Linked DNA regions of Rattus norvegicus. The protein of the gene in region 2 interacts with the protein of the main gene of each other region in a pairwise test. Links are inferred from orthologs where the notes say so. Each region holds a gene or a part of one and is shown on either strand. Other genes may lie near its edges.

Region 1 (5,181 bases), on a different chromosome or scaffold from region 2:
TTGCTAGACTCAGACACATCCCTCCCTCCCCAGTCCATTTGTGTAAAGAACACCTTTGTTCTGTTCATTGCTGTGAAGAGACACCATAACCACAACAACTCTTATAAAGGAAAATATTTAACTGGGACTGGCTTACAGTTCAGAGGATTAGTCCGTTATCATCATGGTAGGCAGCGTGCAGGCAGACATGGTGCTGGAGAAAGAGCTGAGAGTTCTACATCCAGATCCCCACGCAGCAGGACATGACAGCGACACAGTGGCCAGCCTTGAACTTCTGAGACCTCAAAGTCCGCCCACTAGTTACACACCTCCTTCCACGAAGCCACACCCACTCCAACAAGGCCACACCTCCTAATAGAAGTTCCGGTCCCTATGGGCCTATGGCGGCCATTTTTATTCAAATTACCACAGTATTCTATCCCAGCTTCCTTCACTGTGAGTGGCATATGTCACTAAAAATGACTCAGCGCATCTAAGGAACCTGGAAAGTACTATCTGAACATCAGCGCCCTGTCAACTCAGGTCCGCACCTGTGGCATAAGCCTCCCAGTTCACTGTTTGCTGACACGGCCCCCTCTTCTACACAAATGGAAACCTGCAAGCTTAGCACCAGGCAGTCATATCATTGAGAGAAAGAAGCCAGGTCAGACTGTACTTACATCCCACTAAAACACTCGCAAAGCTGGGTCTGCTGTGCTGCGCCCCATCCAGGTGGCAGGGAGATTATCTGAGCTTGTTTTGTTTATTTGGTGCTGGACTTTTTATGCAGGGCATGTGTTTAGCCCCTGGGTACATTTCATTACCTCCTCCTTTAGCTCGTTAGGTTTTTGTTTTGGTTCTGAGAAACAGGGTCTCGCTAGGTTTACCCAGGCAGGCCTTGAACTCAATTCAGAATCCTCCTGGCCCATGTCTTCTAGAATATAAAACTGGGTTCTTGGTGAAAAGGGGCATCCTGCCAGTGTACCCTCAAACTTTAATGTTCCGGGTCTGGGGGTTGTTCCGTTCTTATAATTTATTTATTTTCATTTTATGTACATTAATGTTTTGCCTGCACGACTGTCTGTGTGAGGTTGTCGGTCTCCTAGAACTGGAGTTGCAGTTTTGAGGCACCATGTGGGTGCTGGGAAATGAACCCAGGACCTCTGGAAGAGCAGTGAATTCTCTTAACCACTGAGCCATCTCTCCAGCCACCTAATGTTTTTTAGTAGTAATAGTACAATTACTTATTTTGTGTGTGTGTGTGTGTCTGTGTGTCTGTGTGTCTGTGTGTCTGTGTAGTGTGTGCATGCATGTGACAGCAATGCGCAGGGCAGAGATCAATTTGTGAAAGTTGAGTTTCTTCTTCCAACATGCGGGTCACAGGGATCGAACTCACAGTTGTCAGACTTGGTGTCAGACGCTTCTTCACCCGCTGATTCGTCTTGCAAGGCCTGGGTGTCTGACAACATCCAGGGAAGAGGCCAACGCTAATCCCTATAACTTTGGCCCATTTCCGGTGTTTTTCCTTCTCTTCCGCTCCGTGCAGCCTGCAGGGTGGAGCTGGGCAGGGGATGGAGGCGGAGCTAAGAACTGGGTGGGCGTAGCTTATCCGCAGACAGGACGCTCTGAAGCCTCCTAGGACCTTCCGATGCGTGACGGAAACTACAACACCCATAATGCCTCGCGACCCCCGTGACTGTTGTCGCGAGAACTGTCGGCTTGTGGGCGTCTGCGCCAAGAAACCGAAGTCTAGGTGACGGTTCCGAGACATCGCCGCCAAGCTGGGCACCGGAGAGATGGCCGAGACGGACCCCAAGACAATGCAGGACATCACCTTGGTGGTAAGCCGCATCCTCACATGGGCCCGGATACTCCGGGTCTGCTTTCCGCCCTGGCCTGGGGTGTGGCCAGCGGCCTCGGCCCGCACACCTGCGAGGCTCGCCCTCCCCTCGGCCCTGGCCCGGACCCTCCCGACCTGACCCGCAGGGACACGGAACCGACCGGGCAGGCCCTTGCGGAAGGCCTCGCACACCAGCCGGGAGCCCCCATAGCCCGCGCCCTCGCCTCCCCACTCACGTCCCAGGAAGGGGATCTCTGAATAGGCTGGAAACGGCTGACTTGTTCTGGTTTTTCTCTCAGGTGGAGACGCTCTTGCAGCAGATGCAAGACAAGTTTCAGATTATGTCGGATCAGATCATCGGAAGGAATATCCTTTTGACTTGGAGGCAGTTTCTTAACTGTGGGGATGAGCGGGTGGTTTACAAACAGACTATAATTAGTCATCTAGAAATTGCCTTTTTCCAGAGAGTTCATTATTTTTAATTATATGTATAAGGGGGTACTGGGAGTGACTGAGACCAGAGGCGTTGGATCCCCTGGAACTGGAGTAACAGGCGGTTGTGAGCTGCCCAATGTGCATACTGGGAAGTCCCCTGAAAGAGCCTCGAGTGTTCCTAACCACTGAGCCATTTCTCCAGCCCCACTTAGAAATGTCTTTACTGATCTTGGCTATGTTGTGTCCCCATGGAGAACCGTGTCAAGATCCAGAGACACAGCTGACTACCCAAGCCCCTGTTGGGGGCCCTCCAGAACACCAGTAAAGGGGTTTACTTGGTAACCATTGGCTGGGAGTGCTCATGGAGCCCTCCACCCTCCAATTCTCTTTGTAACCTTACCAACAGGAAACGGGGTCCTCTGGGATTAAGGGTTGAAGAAACTGAGGCATAGGGTAGAGAACTCAGCCCAGTCCCCTGGACCCCTGACTGCCGGGCTGTCACTGTAGCCGGATGAAACTGGGAAAGCAGCTGCTTAAACCAGTCTGCAGGGACCTGGAGGGGAGAGACAGAGGTGAGGTGTTGCTGGTCTGGTGGGTGGGCTCTTTAACTGCACCACTCGATGACATGAGCAGCCGAATCGATGACCTGGAGAAAAATATCGCTGACCTCATGACCCAGGCTGGAGTAGAAGAACTGGACGCTGAGAACAAGATTCCTACTGCCCAGAAGAGTTGAAGGTGAGAGAGCAGGGGTGCCTTAGCATAAACACAGAGAGTGGTCCGGAAATGGGATCTCTGTGTCGCTACCCAGCAGTCATCTCCCTCCACCCCTCCCAGGGACTCCCAGGTTTCGACATGTTCCCATGCCAAACAGATTCCTTGGGTGGAATTCACATTTCCAAGTTGTATTCAAACTTAACTGTATCGTGCCAGGCAGGTGCGAACCTTACTCGTCACAACACAGTGATGTCAGCTATGAGGCTCACACCTGGAAAGAAGGAAATCGACAGCAAAAGACAAAATACTTTTTTCTTTTAAAGATTTAGTCAAATATGAGTGTTTTGCCAGCATATGTACCCCATGCTATGGGAGGCGGGAAGAAGGCATCAGATCCCCTGGTACTGGAGTTAGAGACAGAGCTTGCCACCACGTGGGTGCTGGGAACCAAACCTAGGTCCTCTCCAAGAGCAAAAGTGCTCTCAACTGCTGAGCCACGTGTAGCCCCTTGACGGGTTCATTTTAAGTAAGTGGACAGTTTGTGATGGCCTCACTCGACCCTAGGCACTGCCCTGGACATTCCTGGGACTTGGGCCCCTGTCTGGCTGGTAAGCAGCTCACTGAGGACCACTGGGTGGTGGCATTTGGGGCAGTGGGGGGGGAGGTTTTGGGGGGGATGTTTGGTGCTCTGCCCTGATCACTGAAAGATTATCTCATTGTTTTGTTTTTGGAAATAGAGAATTCAAGCCACCTTCATGAGTATATATCTTAAGTTCTACAGGCGTGTGTGTGTGTGTGTGTGTTTGTATGTTTGTGTGTGTGTGTGACTTTTATTGTAGAGTCTTTCCTTTTTTTTTTTTTTTTTTTCGGAGCTGGGGACTGAACCCAGGGCCTTGCGCTTGCTAGGCAAGCACTCTACCACTGAGCTAAATCCCCAACCCCGAGTTGATGTCTTTAAAACCATCCAGTGTGGTGAATTTCTTCCTTATACCCTGCACCTGGGTTTGTTGGAGGAGAGACCAACAACCCCCCTCTCTTTTTTTTTTTTTTTTGAGACATAATTTCTTTAAAAGATTTATTTATTATATATAAGTACAAACATACCAGAAGAGGGAATCAGATCTCATTGCAGATGGTTGTGAGCCACCATGTGGTTGCTGGGATTTGAACTCAGGACCTCTGGGAGAGCAGTTGGTGCTCTTAACCACTGAGCCACCTCTCCAGCCCTGAGGCACTCTTATTATGCAACCCTGCCTTGTTGGCCTAGAACTTGCTCTACAGACCAGGATGGCCTCAAACTCAAAAGCGCTCCACCTGATTTGCCTCTGCCTCAAATATTGGGATCTTACATACCATCTGTGTCGTCTTAGATGACGTTTATCAAGGATTTTGTGTGAGAATATCAAGATAATATATAATGGATGATTCTTAGCCCCCTTCTTACTTTCTGGGCGTGGGCCGGAACAGCTTTTCAGTGACTGAAATAGAGGTTGTTCTGAAATCCAAGAGACTGTTTGGGGTTGGGAAGGTCAGATAACGACCAGCACGCGTGGCTCCCTCGCTATGAGTTATGTAGTATATCATAGTCCTGTCCACAGAGGAGCTGCACTGTGGACAGGGGGTCTGGGAGCTGCTGGGGAGCTGTGCTGTGTTGTGGTGGAAAAATCCCATTAGTCAAGAACAGAAGATTGTAGGGTTGAAGACGTTGGACTGATGGCGAAACACAAAGAAGGAAGTGAAAACGGGAGGCGGAGTCAGAACTCGGAAGAAAGCTGTCTGAGTAACAGACTGGGGACATGGCTCAGTGCTAGAGCTGGTATGCGCTCGTAATGGACCCCAGGGCGGTTCCCAGCTGTCCCTTGAGGCCGCTCACCACTCTGCAACTCCACCTCCAAAGGATTGGCACCCTCTGTGGGCCTCCACAAGGACTTGCACTCCCCGGCACAAACCCACACAGGGATGCCCAGACCCATACACAAACTTCTAATTTACAGTGGCATCTTTTTAAGATTTACAAGTAAATGGGATTCTCTAGGCTAGTGTGCATGAAGAATGGGTGGCCGAGCGGATGGCGTCCTGGCATCTTTTCTTATAGTGGGGAGGAGCTGGCTCTGCTGTGCCCTCCGCGCTCCCCTTGGTGCTGATCATCGTCTTCTTCTTCTTCCACAGGCTACTGGCACTTCAGACTGAGTCCAGAACATCACTTTCCC
Region 2 (4,596 bases):
AAGCAACAAGCCGAAGGTCCCAGGTTACTTGGGGAAATAACTTGTGTTTAAAGCTTAGAGATTTTGATAACTAACGGGCACTTTCAGTTTTAGCTGGGTTTAATTTGTAATGCTATGCATGCTCTTCCTGTTCGTGAGGTAGAGGGTTTAATCCTACAGTATTTTTGTAATTGTTATCCTCCCTTCCCTGAAACCCCATAAAAGTGTACAGTGGCCATGTTTTCTAATTGATCAAAATATTTACTGAATATTTGAGTGGAAATTTTTATGCTCACATTACACTAAGGAAGTGAAGGTAGGTATGTATACTTTCTCTGCCCTCTCTGGACTTCAGCAAGTATGTCTGTTGCCTTATCACATTTCTCTGGCATAGAAATTTAGAGCACCTGGCCTTGAACATGCTGGGGACATTGTGTCAGTCACAACTATACCCACTTGTGACTTTGGGGCCACTGCCACTTTGCTAAGCACTGTCGTCAGTCAGCACTTCACAATGACTTTTGCTGCCCGAGATCCTATCATCGGGGAGTTCTTTCTTATGCCCTTTCTCATGACTGAACCTTATTTAACAGTTGGGAATGTTAAGGTGCTGCCATCCAAGGACACAAGTTAATGTTTCTGTGTGGGCCAGCTAACCTTAGCATTTCCCTGGCCATAGTACAGTGTCCACAGTCAGCCAAACAGCTGACAAACACGTGTCGTGTAGCACCAGGACAAAAGCAGGGAGAGTTTTTATAACACTAACCCAAATGCTTATCTTTTTTGTTTTGAATGTTTACCATTTAAGTCCGAAATGTTGACAATATGTCCATTTGTTGTGTATGAAGAGAACATATTTAGGTAATATTCAAGGATAAATGTTTAAAGAGAGAAAAACAAGTTATATCATATGTTAAAATGTAAAGACACTTCTCGTACAATTAAAGCTTAAAATTGGCTAGGGAGGTGACTCAGTTGGTGAAGTACCTGAGAGACTGAGTTCAGACTGGAGAAGGGAGGACCCAGCAAACGCAGCCAACAAGGAGCTACACACACAGACACACATGCAAGAGAATGGTGTGCCACAGAGTACTTTTCATTAGCAAGGTGTTTTTAATAAAAATATTCAGAATAGTTTTATAAGGAAAATGTTCTCATCCCCTATACAGGTAACAAAAGTGGGAAGGTGAGCCTGTGACCCACATATTAGCACTTTAGTACCCTTCGGCAGTCAGAATCCAAAGCCCATGTTTTCAATCCTCTGGAGTCTGTAGGCTGAGCAATACTTTGTAGGGAAAGACGAGTTATCAAATAAATTAAACTTTGGTGGGGGGGGCTCTCCCAAAGAACAGTGAATGTTTTTCACTTTTAACATACGGCATGGGAAGTAGGATGAACGTTCTGAACCTATACAGTTTTGTAGATTTAAGGGAGCTAAGAATCCACAGTTCAAAAGTTTTGTTTGCATATGCCAACACTAATTCACGTTTCTCAGCTGTCATCTATCCCAGGCCTAGAGGATGTCACAGTTGACATGTCTCCTTTAAGTGTCACTGCTGTCACAAATGGATCACATTCTGAAACCACTGCTGAGCAACTGCAGGTAAGCATCCGAGTTACAAGACTGCAGGACATCAAGGTTGAACAGGAGCCGACACTAAAGACATGTAAAATGTTGTAGTCAAATCATGAAACTTTAAGCTACAAAGTGCACACACACACACACACACACACACACACACACACACACACACATCAGACCAAAATTAACAAGACCCAAAGTCTATATATTTCAATGAACTGAAAAACATGTAGATTTTGAGGTTGACTTGTTTGAATCTGCATTCTACATCATGATAAGAGTCACTAAATAGTCAGCTTTTATGCCATATATTTTTTATGCTTCAGTACATTTAAGTTTTTTACTATTTATTTTAAAGTCTCCATTGTATATACATCTCAGTGAGGTACTAAAATATGAAACAAATTAACCACCAAAGTGGTGAGCCACTAGAACAGTATCAGCAAAGTCGTCACCCTGTGTAGGTACATTTTCCGTTTGTACCTGGATGTACTCACACATTGTGACTCCTCAGAAGAACCCTCCGGCCCTGGTAGTTGTTCTTCTGCGCCTGATTCCCCATCTCGGGATTCACCTAGGCAACCTTGAGAGTATTTCAGAAAAAAAGAGTTTGCATCTCTAGTAAACAAACGTGAACTCCGTCATTAGTCCTTAAACAGTGCAACTGTTTCCACTGTCATAGACACCATAAGTAATCTAGAGTAAGCTAAACTCAGACCAAGGCCACTTCAGATAGGAGATTCTAGCAGATTTCAGTATTGGGGTCTGGAACCGGACCCCTGCAGATCTCAAAATACCTATTACTGTTAATCATACCTGAACTTCTTAATTGGCTTTGCAGATTCAGAATCATCTTTTGTATGTCTGACAGTTTTAAGTTGTAAATTAGTTTGTTTAGACTATCTGGAAGTTCCTGTGGCCTTCCTGATTTATCCAGTTGTGCTGATCAGCCTAATAAAAACACACCTAAGGCATGTTAACATTCAGATTGGCTCCTCTTGTTTTCTTCGGCGACATTACCTAGTGTAGTTTTAGATAAAGTATTTTGGAGCCAGGTGGTGCAGTCCTAGCACTTGGGAGGCAGAGGCAGGTGGATCTCTGTTAGTTTAAGGCCAGCCTGGGCTGAGTAAGTTCAAGGACAGCCAAGGCTATGAAAAGAAACCCATTCTCAAAAAGCCAGTGCGTATGTTTATATATGTAGTAGATAGAATACTTTGAAGGAACTAAATACTGCTTTATGAAGATTTTCATGGTTATGAGTCAAGTCAGCTATGCACGTTTGATATACATGCATGCATAGCCCTGGCCCGAGGGAGGTGAGTGCGGGAGAATCAGGAGTTCAAGGTCATCCCTGGCTAGATAGTGAATTAGAGGTCAATCTACAAGAAATCTTTGCCTCAACACAACACAATAACAAAACCACCCATTTATCACTCCTTCTGAACTGTGAGTCACAGCCCTGAGCTGTGCATTCTGATTCATACAACTTTACTCTCATGACTCAGATGCTGTCTTCGTTTGCCATAGAATATCCAGTTGTACAGATTGAGATCAATTGGAGACTGAAATGAAGGGCAGTTGAGAGAAGGGATTATGATGCCTAATGGACCGTTCACATAGGAACGCATGCCGGCGTGTAATTAAACCCTGCCAGGCACAGAGTAGCAGCTGGAAGCTGACGACTGCTAGACCCGACGGAGCTCTCACTCGCTCTGCGGAGCTTGGACGAGCCACGCATAGACGTTTAGAAATGCACCTGGATCTATCTCTCTTATGTTCATGGGTGATGATGTCTCAGACTTCTGTGTTAACTGTTTGCAGATGAATATTTACACTCACGTATTTTCACTCTCCTTTGTAACACTTAACAATATTACCTAGCATAAGAACCTAAAGAATTTGTGTTTGTTTTATTGCTACAGAATTCTGTTTTCTTTTTTAAGATTTGGCTTACATATACATTTTGTTAGAAAAATTCAATATACAAACATAACTTAGATTCATATTCTCAGTACTACAGGTTTTTTGTTTTGGTTTGTTTTGTGAGACAGGATTTCTCACTGTGTAGCCCTGGCTGTGCTGGAACTTGCTCTGTAGACCAGGCTGGCCTTGAACTCAGAGATCCACTGGCATCTGCCTCTCGAGTACTGGAGTTAAAGGAGAGTGCCACTGTGCTCTGATGGGACTGCAGATTTTTAAAATATTAATTTGTCTACATCTTAGCATAGATATATTGACATGAACTAATGGCATCTGTGGAAGAAACTCCTTGTGACAGTTGTGCCAATGCCGAGTGAGGGTGACAGAAGCCAGCTTATTCTAGTGTTCAGATTGGCACAGAAGCCGAGTGCTGTGGTATTGTGTGCTGTATGAATCTGCACTTCGCACTTAAGCTAGGGCAGGGCGTCCCTGTGCTCGGGTGACTGCGCAGTGCTGTGCAGTGTCAGGAGGACCATTATTTAAAATCGCCACCGACTCTAGTATTGAGTGTTTTGGCCACTCTGCTGACTTTATTACCACTGATAAGCACTCTTCAACACAAAATGTACATGAGCAGACAACCTTGTTATCTCCAAGCAATCTCTGAGCACTGCTTTCTAGAAACTTAGAATCAGCATACCCATTTAAAATATAATGGTTTAATAAATGGGGGACAGTAGGGTGGCTGGCAGATACCTAGAAAAGTAATTCACTTCCATCAGTTGAGCAGTTGACATGTTTTGCTACTTTCCTGGCGTATCCACCTATCATGTTTCATAGAAATACATTTGCATCCCAGGGAACAATCTGTTATTGATAGTGTTAAGTTTAGGTTATAAGTATAGATACTTGGGAATATATATCACATAATTAAATGAATGGTATTTAAATATGAAAGTATAATTTTTGAGTAATTAGTGCCTCATAATTTTAAAAATAATCGTTGCTTTTTAAGTAGCATGACAGACCCTTTCTGTGAACTGTCTAGAGATTTACATAAAACTCTCTACAGCAGAACAGCACGCAAGACTCCGGAGTACAACAAGGTGAAGCGC
Region 3 (5,132 bases), on a different chromosome or scaffold from region 2:
TGGGTGCCGGTGTCTAGGAGACATGAGCATTGAGGAAGATGCCACTAGATGTCCTTTACCTATCTTGGGCTTGAATCTTGACCAACAAGAGCCACAGGATTTTTTAAGGTAATCAAACAGGACTTAAACCCAGCTGGAGTAGATGGGGAGCCTTTGACTGGTACAGTCAAATTCTACATTATGCCACTGGGGAAGCAGTCACATACCTGTGTCTGAATCACAGTCCAGGACTCTGTGGGTCAGCTGTCTGTCACTCCATCCTCTTGCTTGATCCCAGTTGCACTTCCCTAGCACAGCCTTGCTTCACGCTGGTCTTTGGAAGTGGGGGGCGATACCTTAACCCCAGCTGCCCTCCAAGATGATTAGCAAGGGACAAGATCAGAGACCCAGTTTTGCCCCCTCCCATTTTGCAGACTTTAATGTGATTTATTGATGGTAATTGCCACCCCTCCCCTTCTCCCCAATTACTTTTAAGATCCCTGAGATCAAACTCTCTAGACTTTAAGGTTGAGAGAGACCCAGGTGGACCACTGGGCCCTGCAGTGTTAGAAGGCTTCCTGCCTGACCTGATCCTGCTCACTTCAGTGGCGATCCTAGCCGAGCCCTGCACAGCTAGTGCTGAGAACCCCAAAACCAGTGGTTCCCAACCTTCCTAACACTGTGACCCTTTAATACAGTCCCTTGTGGTGACCACCAACTATAAAATTATTTCATTGCTACTTCATAACTGTGACACTGCTACTGTCATGAATCCTAATGTAAATGTCTGATATGCAGGACATCTGACATGTAAGCCCTGTGGGGTGTCGACTCACAGATTGAGAAAGTGCTGCACTGAACCAAGTGCATGGAGGACTGATGGTGGATGGGTACTGGGACACTTAGGCCTTAAGGAGGTTGGTAGGCTTCTCTTTGGGCTCTGTGGGAGGACACTGGGGACTATGGAGGACCCAGGTCTCTCTTTATTCAGTCAGCCTGTGAGATTCCTCCTTCCTGGCCAGAACACCAGGGGCTGGACTTTTCAACCCTTGTCTTCTTTGAATTTTTAAGGCCAGTGCAGTTTCCCAAGGCCCTATGGATCCTTGAATGAGGTAGCTTCTCTGTGACTTTTGTTAAGGTGAACACGGCCAGGAAAGCTGTGGGGTGCAGGGCAGAAGGACTGGGACCAGCCTGGGTTTCTGAGGAGATTGCACATCTTTTGATGCCTGGAATCCTGCTGCCGCTGTCTGCCTCTCCTGAAGGAAGCTCCCCTCCCCCTCCCTCTCCCCCTCCCCTCCTCCTCCCTCTTCCTCTTCTTCCTCATCCCCCTCTTCCTCCTCCCCCCTCTTGCTCCTCTTCCTCCCCCTCCTCCCTCTTTTTCCTCCTTCCCCTCTTCCTCCTCCTCCCCCTTCCTCCTCCTCTCCCTCTTCCTCCTCTTTATCCTCCCCTCCTCCTTTTCCTCCTCCTCTTCTTTCTTCTTTTTCTTCCTTCTTCCTTCCTCTTTCTTCTTTTTTGGTTGCGTCTTTGAAACAAAATTCATCTGCATTACCCTGACTATCCGGAACTTACTCTGGCATCACACTCAAAGAGCCACTGGGATGAAAAGTGTAGGCCTCCATGCCCAGGAACTCCATTCTTAAGAGAGCTTTTTTCTCTGCAGGCGGCCACTCTAGCTGCACTGGACCTCCACAACTATGGCCTCCTGCCCGGACTCAGATAATAGCTGGGTGCTTGCTGGCTCTGAGGTAGGAAGAGTGGGCCTGGGAACTCCATGGGAGAGGGGATTCCTACAGGGGTGGACTGCTTTGACTGGAACCTGCAGGAATGAGTGTCCAGAAGAGCAAGGTGTTGCGTGAGAGCACCAGGGATTAGGGACTGAAGAAGATGGACACAGTATCTGGGACCAAGAGGTCTCACACAGTGGATGACTGCCGCGAAATGAGCTTGTTCAGAAGTACAGCGTCGTACATACAATTTACAGGGAGATGGCCAAGGTCAGCAGCAAGCTAAATCAGACGGTGTTGGCAAAGAACACAGGGTACCTCAGACACCGCTGCCTTGGGATTGATAACCACAGTCTAGGGGAAAGAGTCAAATCACCAGAAACTGCAACCTTGACGCCTTCAAGACACTGGCTCTAGTCCTAGACAAGCATTGCCAAGTCTGTTCATGAACAGGGACACAGAACTAAAGTTTCCTTTGTCCTTTGATCAGTCTTGGGTTGTCCTGGCTGCCCACACTGCTTTCTGGATCTGTCCTGTTTTCTTAGTCCGGATGGTCATGGCAGAGTCCCTGTTGGCTCTCCTGAGGCTCCAGAGGAGGGAGGAGATCTGGCACAGAGCTCTGGTGTGGGGCTTGGGCTAATCTGGGAAGAAGGGACCAGATAGGTAGGCTGAGAGAAGCAGAGAGGGACTTCTGGTGTAACCCCAGCAAGAGTAGGGTCGTGAGGTGACAAAGGGGAGCCGTGTTGAGACTGAAGAGCCTTAGGATCAGGGGAAGACCTGCTATACACCATTTTGGAAGGGCCTCTTCGAGGGTGATGAAACACCATGACCAAAGCAACTTGGGATGAAAGGGTTTATTTCAGCCTATACCCCAGGTAACAATCCATCACTGAGGGAAGGAAGTCAGATCAGAAACTCAGACAGGGCAGGACCTTGGAGGCCAGAGCTGATGTACCCCTGGAGGGATGCTGCTCACTGCTTTGCTCTCCATGGCTTCTCAGCCTGCTTTCTCCTAGAACCCAGAGCCACTAGCCCAGGGACGGCACCACCCACAATGGGATGGGTCCTCCCCCATCAATCATTAATTAAGAAAATGCTCTGTATTGGAATATCCAAGATATAATTCACAAACCACGTGAAGCTCAAGAAGGAAGACAGAAGTGTGGATGCTTCAGTCCTTAGAAGGGGGAACAGAAATACTCACAGGAGGAAATATGGAGACAAAGTGTGGAGCAGAAACTGAAAGGCCATCCAGGGACTGCCCCACATGGGGATGCATCCCATATACAGCCACCAAACCCAGACAGTATGGTAGATGCCAAGTAGTGCTTGCTGACAGGAGCCTGATATAGCTGTCTCCTGAGAGGCTCTGCCAGAGCCTGACAAATAACTGAGGTGGATGCTCGCAGCCAACCATTGAACTGAGAACAGGGTCCCTATTGGAGGAGTTAGAGAAAGGACTGAAGTAGCTGATGGGGTTTGCAACCCCATAAGAAGAACACACTATCAACCAACCAGACCTCCACCCCAGAGCTCCCAGGGACTAACCCACCGTCCCAAGAGAACACAGGGATGGACCTATGGCTCCATCCACATCTGTAGCAGAGGATGGCCTTGCCAGGCATCAGTGGGAGGAGAGGCCCTGACCCTGTCAAGACTGATGCCCCAGTGTAGGGGAATGTCAGGGCAGGGAGGTGGGAGGGAGCGGGTAGGTAGGTGAGGGAGCACCCTCATAGAAGCAGGGTGGGGGGGTGGGGGGATAGCAGGTTTATGGAGGGGAAACAGAGAAATGGGATAACATTTAAAATGTAAATTAAAAATGCAATAAAAAATACTGAAAAAAAAAGAAAGGAAAAAAGGGGGAAAAAAAAAAGAAAGAAAATGCTCTATAGACTGGCTACAGCCTGATTTTTTTTTTTTTTTTTTTTTTTTTTTTGGTTCTTTTTTTTCCGGAGCTGGGGACCAAACCCAGGGCCTTGCGCTTCCTAGGCAAGCGCTCTACCACTGAGCTAAATCCCCAACCCCAGCCTGATCTTATGAAGACATTTTCCCAGCTGGGGTTCTTGCCTCTCAGATGACTTGAGCCTGTGTCAGGTTGACACAAAATTAGCCAGCACATGTGTCATCTGATGAGTAGACAGTGCAGGGCTGCTGAGTTGGAGAGTAGCCTAACATTCAGTGTCATTGGCAGGGGACCAAGCCTCTGTGTGGCTGGGTGAGGACAGGGACAGTGCTTTCAGAGCTCCTACAGCTCCCAGGTTAGGGCAGGAGACAGGAGGGCTGCTGGTACGGGGATTGGCTAGAGAGGGATGACAGGAAGGGTCGAAGGATCTCAGGCTTCCTTAGAACTACTAGGAGGAAGGGGCTGGGGATTTAGCTCAGCGGTAGAGCACTTGCCTAGGGAGCGCAAGGCCCTGGGTTCGGTCCCCAGCTCCGAAAAAAAAAGAAAAAAATAAAACTACTAGGAGGAGCTGGACAGAGTGGAGCAAAAGCTGCGATCATGCTAATTGGGAGATGGAGGCTGGAGGATCAGGTCAGGGTTATCCTTGGCTACATAGCAAGTTTTGGGATACATGAGACCTTGTATCATAAAGGAACAAATAAAAATCGGTAGCTAAAGAAGCCACAGAACTCCATTTAGACTTGCTGGGTTTGAGGTGCCCTTTAGGAGACCGACCAACAGGGGAAGGAGGTGAGGAATTGACCTCAGCAGTGACCCTAGAGTAGACTACAAGGACCAGTGCCCAATGGTGGGGAGTAAGATAGGCCCTGTGCTCAGTGGGGCCTGGTCTCCTGTCATGGTGCCTTTGCTGACAGCAGGGGACCTGGGCCAATATTTCACCTGCTCATCCTTTACTATAAACCAGCCTTGTGATCCTTGCCTTGCAGGGGTAACCTGAGAAAAATAAACGTGATTTGTAAATTGCCAAACAGCATACTGAGGTCAAAAGTCAGTCTAAGCCAGGTATGGAGTGCACACCTCTAATCCCAGCTGTCAGGAGACAGAGGAGGCGGATGGAGCTCTGTGAGCCTGAGGCCAACCTCATCTACATAGTGAGTTCTAGGATAGCCAGGACTATGTAGAGAGTCTCTCTCTCTCTCTCTCTCTCTCTCTCTCTCTCTCTCTCTCTCACACACACACACACACACACACACACACTAATAATATATATATTTTTAAGTTGGGGAGATGGCTTAGTGGTAAAGCACTTGCCACATACCCACGGGACCAGGCTGTGAGCCAACACCAAGGGCCAGGCTGGCTGTGGCTGGGGGCAGTTGTTGGGCCTCTGCCAGTAGCTGCTGGGAAATGGCCGTTGGGGTCACATAGGCCAATGGGAAAGGCCAGAGAACTCAAGATGGATGTGTGGGTGGGCAGAAGAGAGAACAGCTGAGAGCGTAACTACCATGACCTGGGTCTGGGTCTGG

What was found. The genes of interacting proteins can lie anywhere in the genome.
Region 1: the proteins of Washc3 (region 2) and Hsbp1 interact in binary tests that used the Homo sapiens proteins (3 or more experiments, as listed by UniProt). The two-hybrid records come from large-scale screens. The link is inferred for Rattus norvegicus from reciprocal best matches to the Homo sapiens genes WASHC3 and HSBP1.
Region 3: the proteins of Washc3 (region 2) and Pbxip1 interact in binary tests that used the Homo sapiens proteins (3 or more experiments, as listed by UniProt). The two-hybrid records come from large-scale screens. The link is inferred for Rattus norvegicus from reciprocal best matches to the Homo sapiens genes WASHC3 and PBXIP1.

What each region holds. Positions count from the first base shown.
Region 1 is NC_086037.1:64,308,016-64,313,196, forward strand, and holds the start of Hsbp1 (heat shock factor-binding protein 1), read left to right. Parts: upstream 1-1,687; 5' UTR 1,688-1,775; coding exon 1,776-1,820; intron 1,821-2,118; coding exon 2,119-2,185; intron 2,186-2,871; coding exon 2,872-2,990; 3' UTR 2,991-2,992; intron 2,993-5,140; 3' UTR 5,141-5,181. UniProt on the Homo sapiens protein: Negative regulator of the heat shock response. Negatively affects HSF1 DNA-binding activity. May have a role in the suppression of the activation of the stress response during the aging process.
Region 2 is NC_086025.1:24,521,780-24,526,375, forward strand, and holds part of Washc3 (WASH complex subunit 3), read left to right. Parts: intron 1-1,474; coding exon 1,475-1,582; intron 1,583-4,553; coding exon 4,554-4,596. UniProt on the Homo sapiens protein: Acts as a component of the WASH core complex that functions as a nucleation-promoting factor (NPF) at the surface of endosomes, where it recruits and activates the Arp2/3 complex to induce actin polymerization, playing a key role in the fission of tubules that serve as transport intermediates during endosome sorting.
Region 3 is NC_086020.1:177,155,088-177,160,219, forward strand, and holds the start of Pbxip1 (pre-B-cell leukemia transcription factor-interacting protein 1), read left to right. Parts: upstream 1-1,638; 5' UTR 1,639-1,673; coding exon 1,674-1,724; intron 1,725-5,132. UniProt on the Homo sapiens protein: Regulator of pre-B-cell leukemia transcription factors (BPXs) function. Inhibits the binding of PBX1-HOX complex to DNA and blocks the transcriptional activity of E2A-PBX1.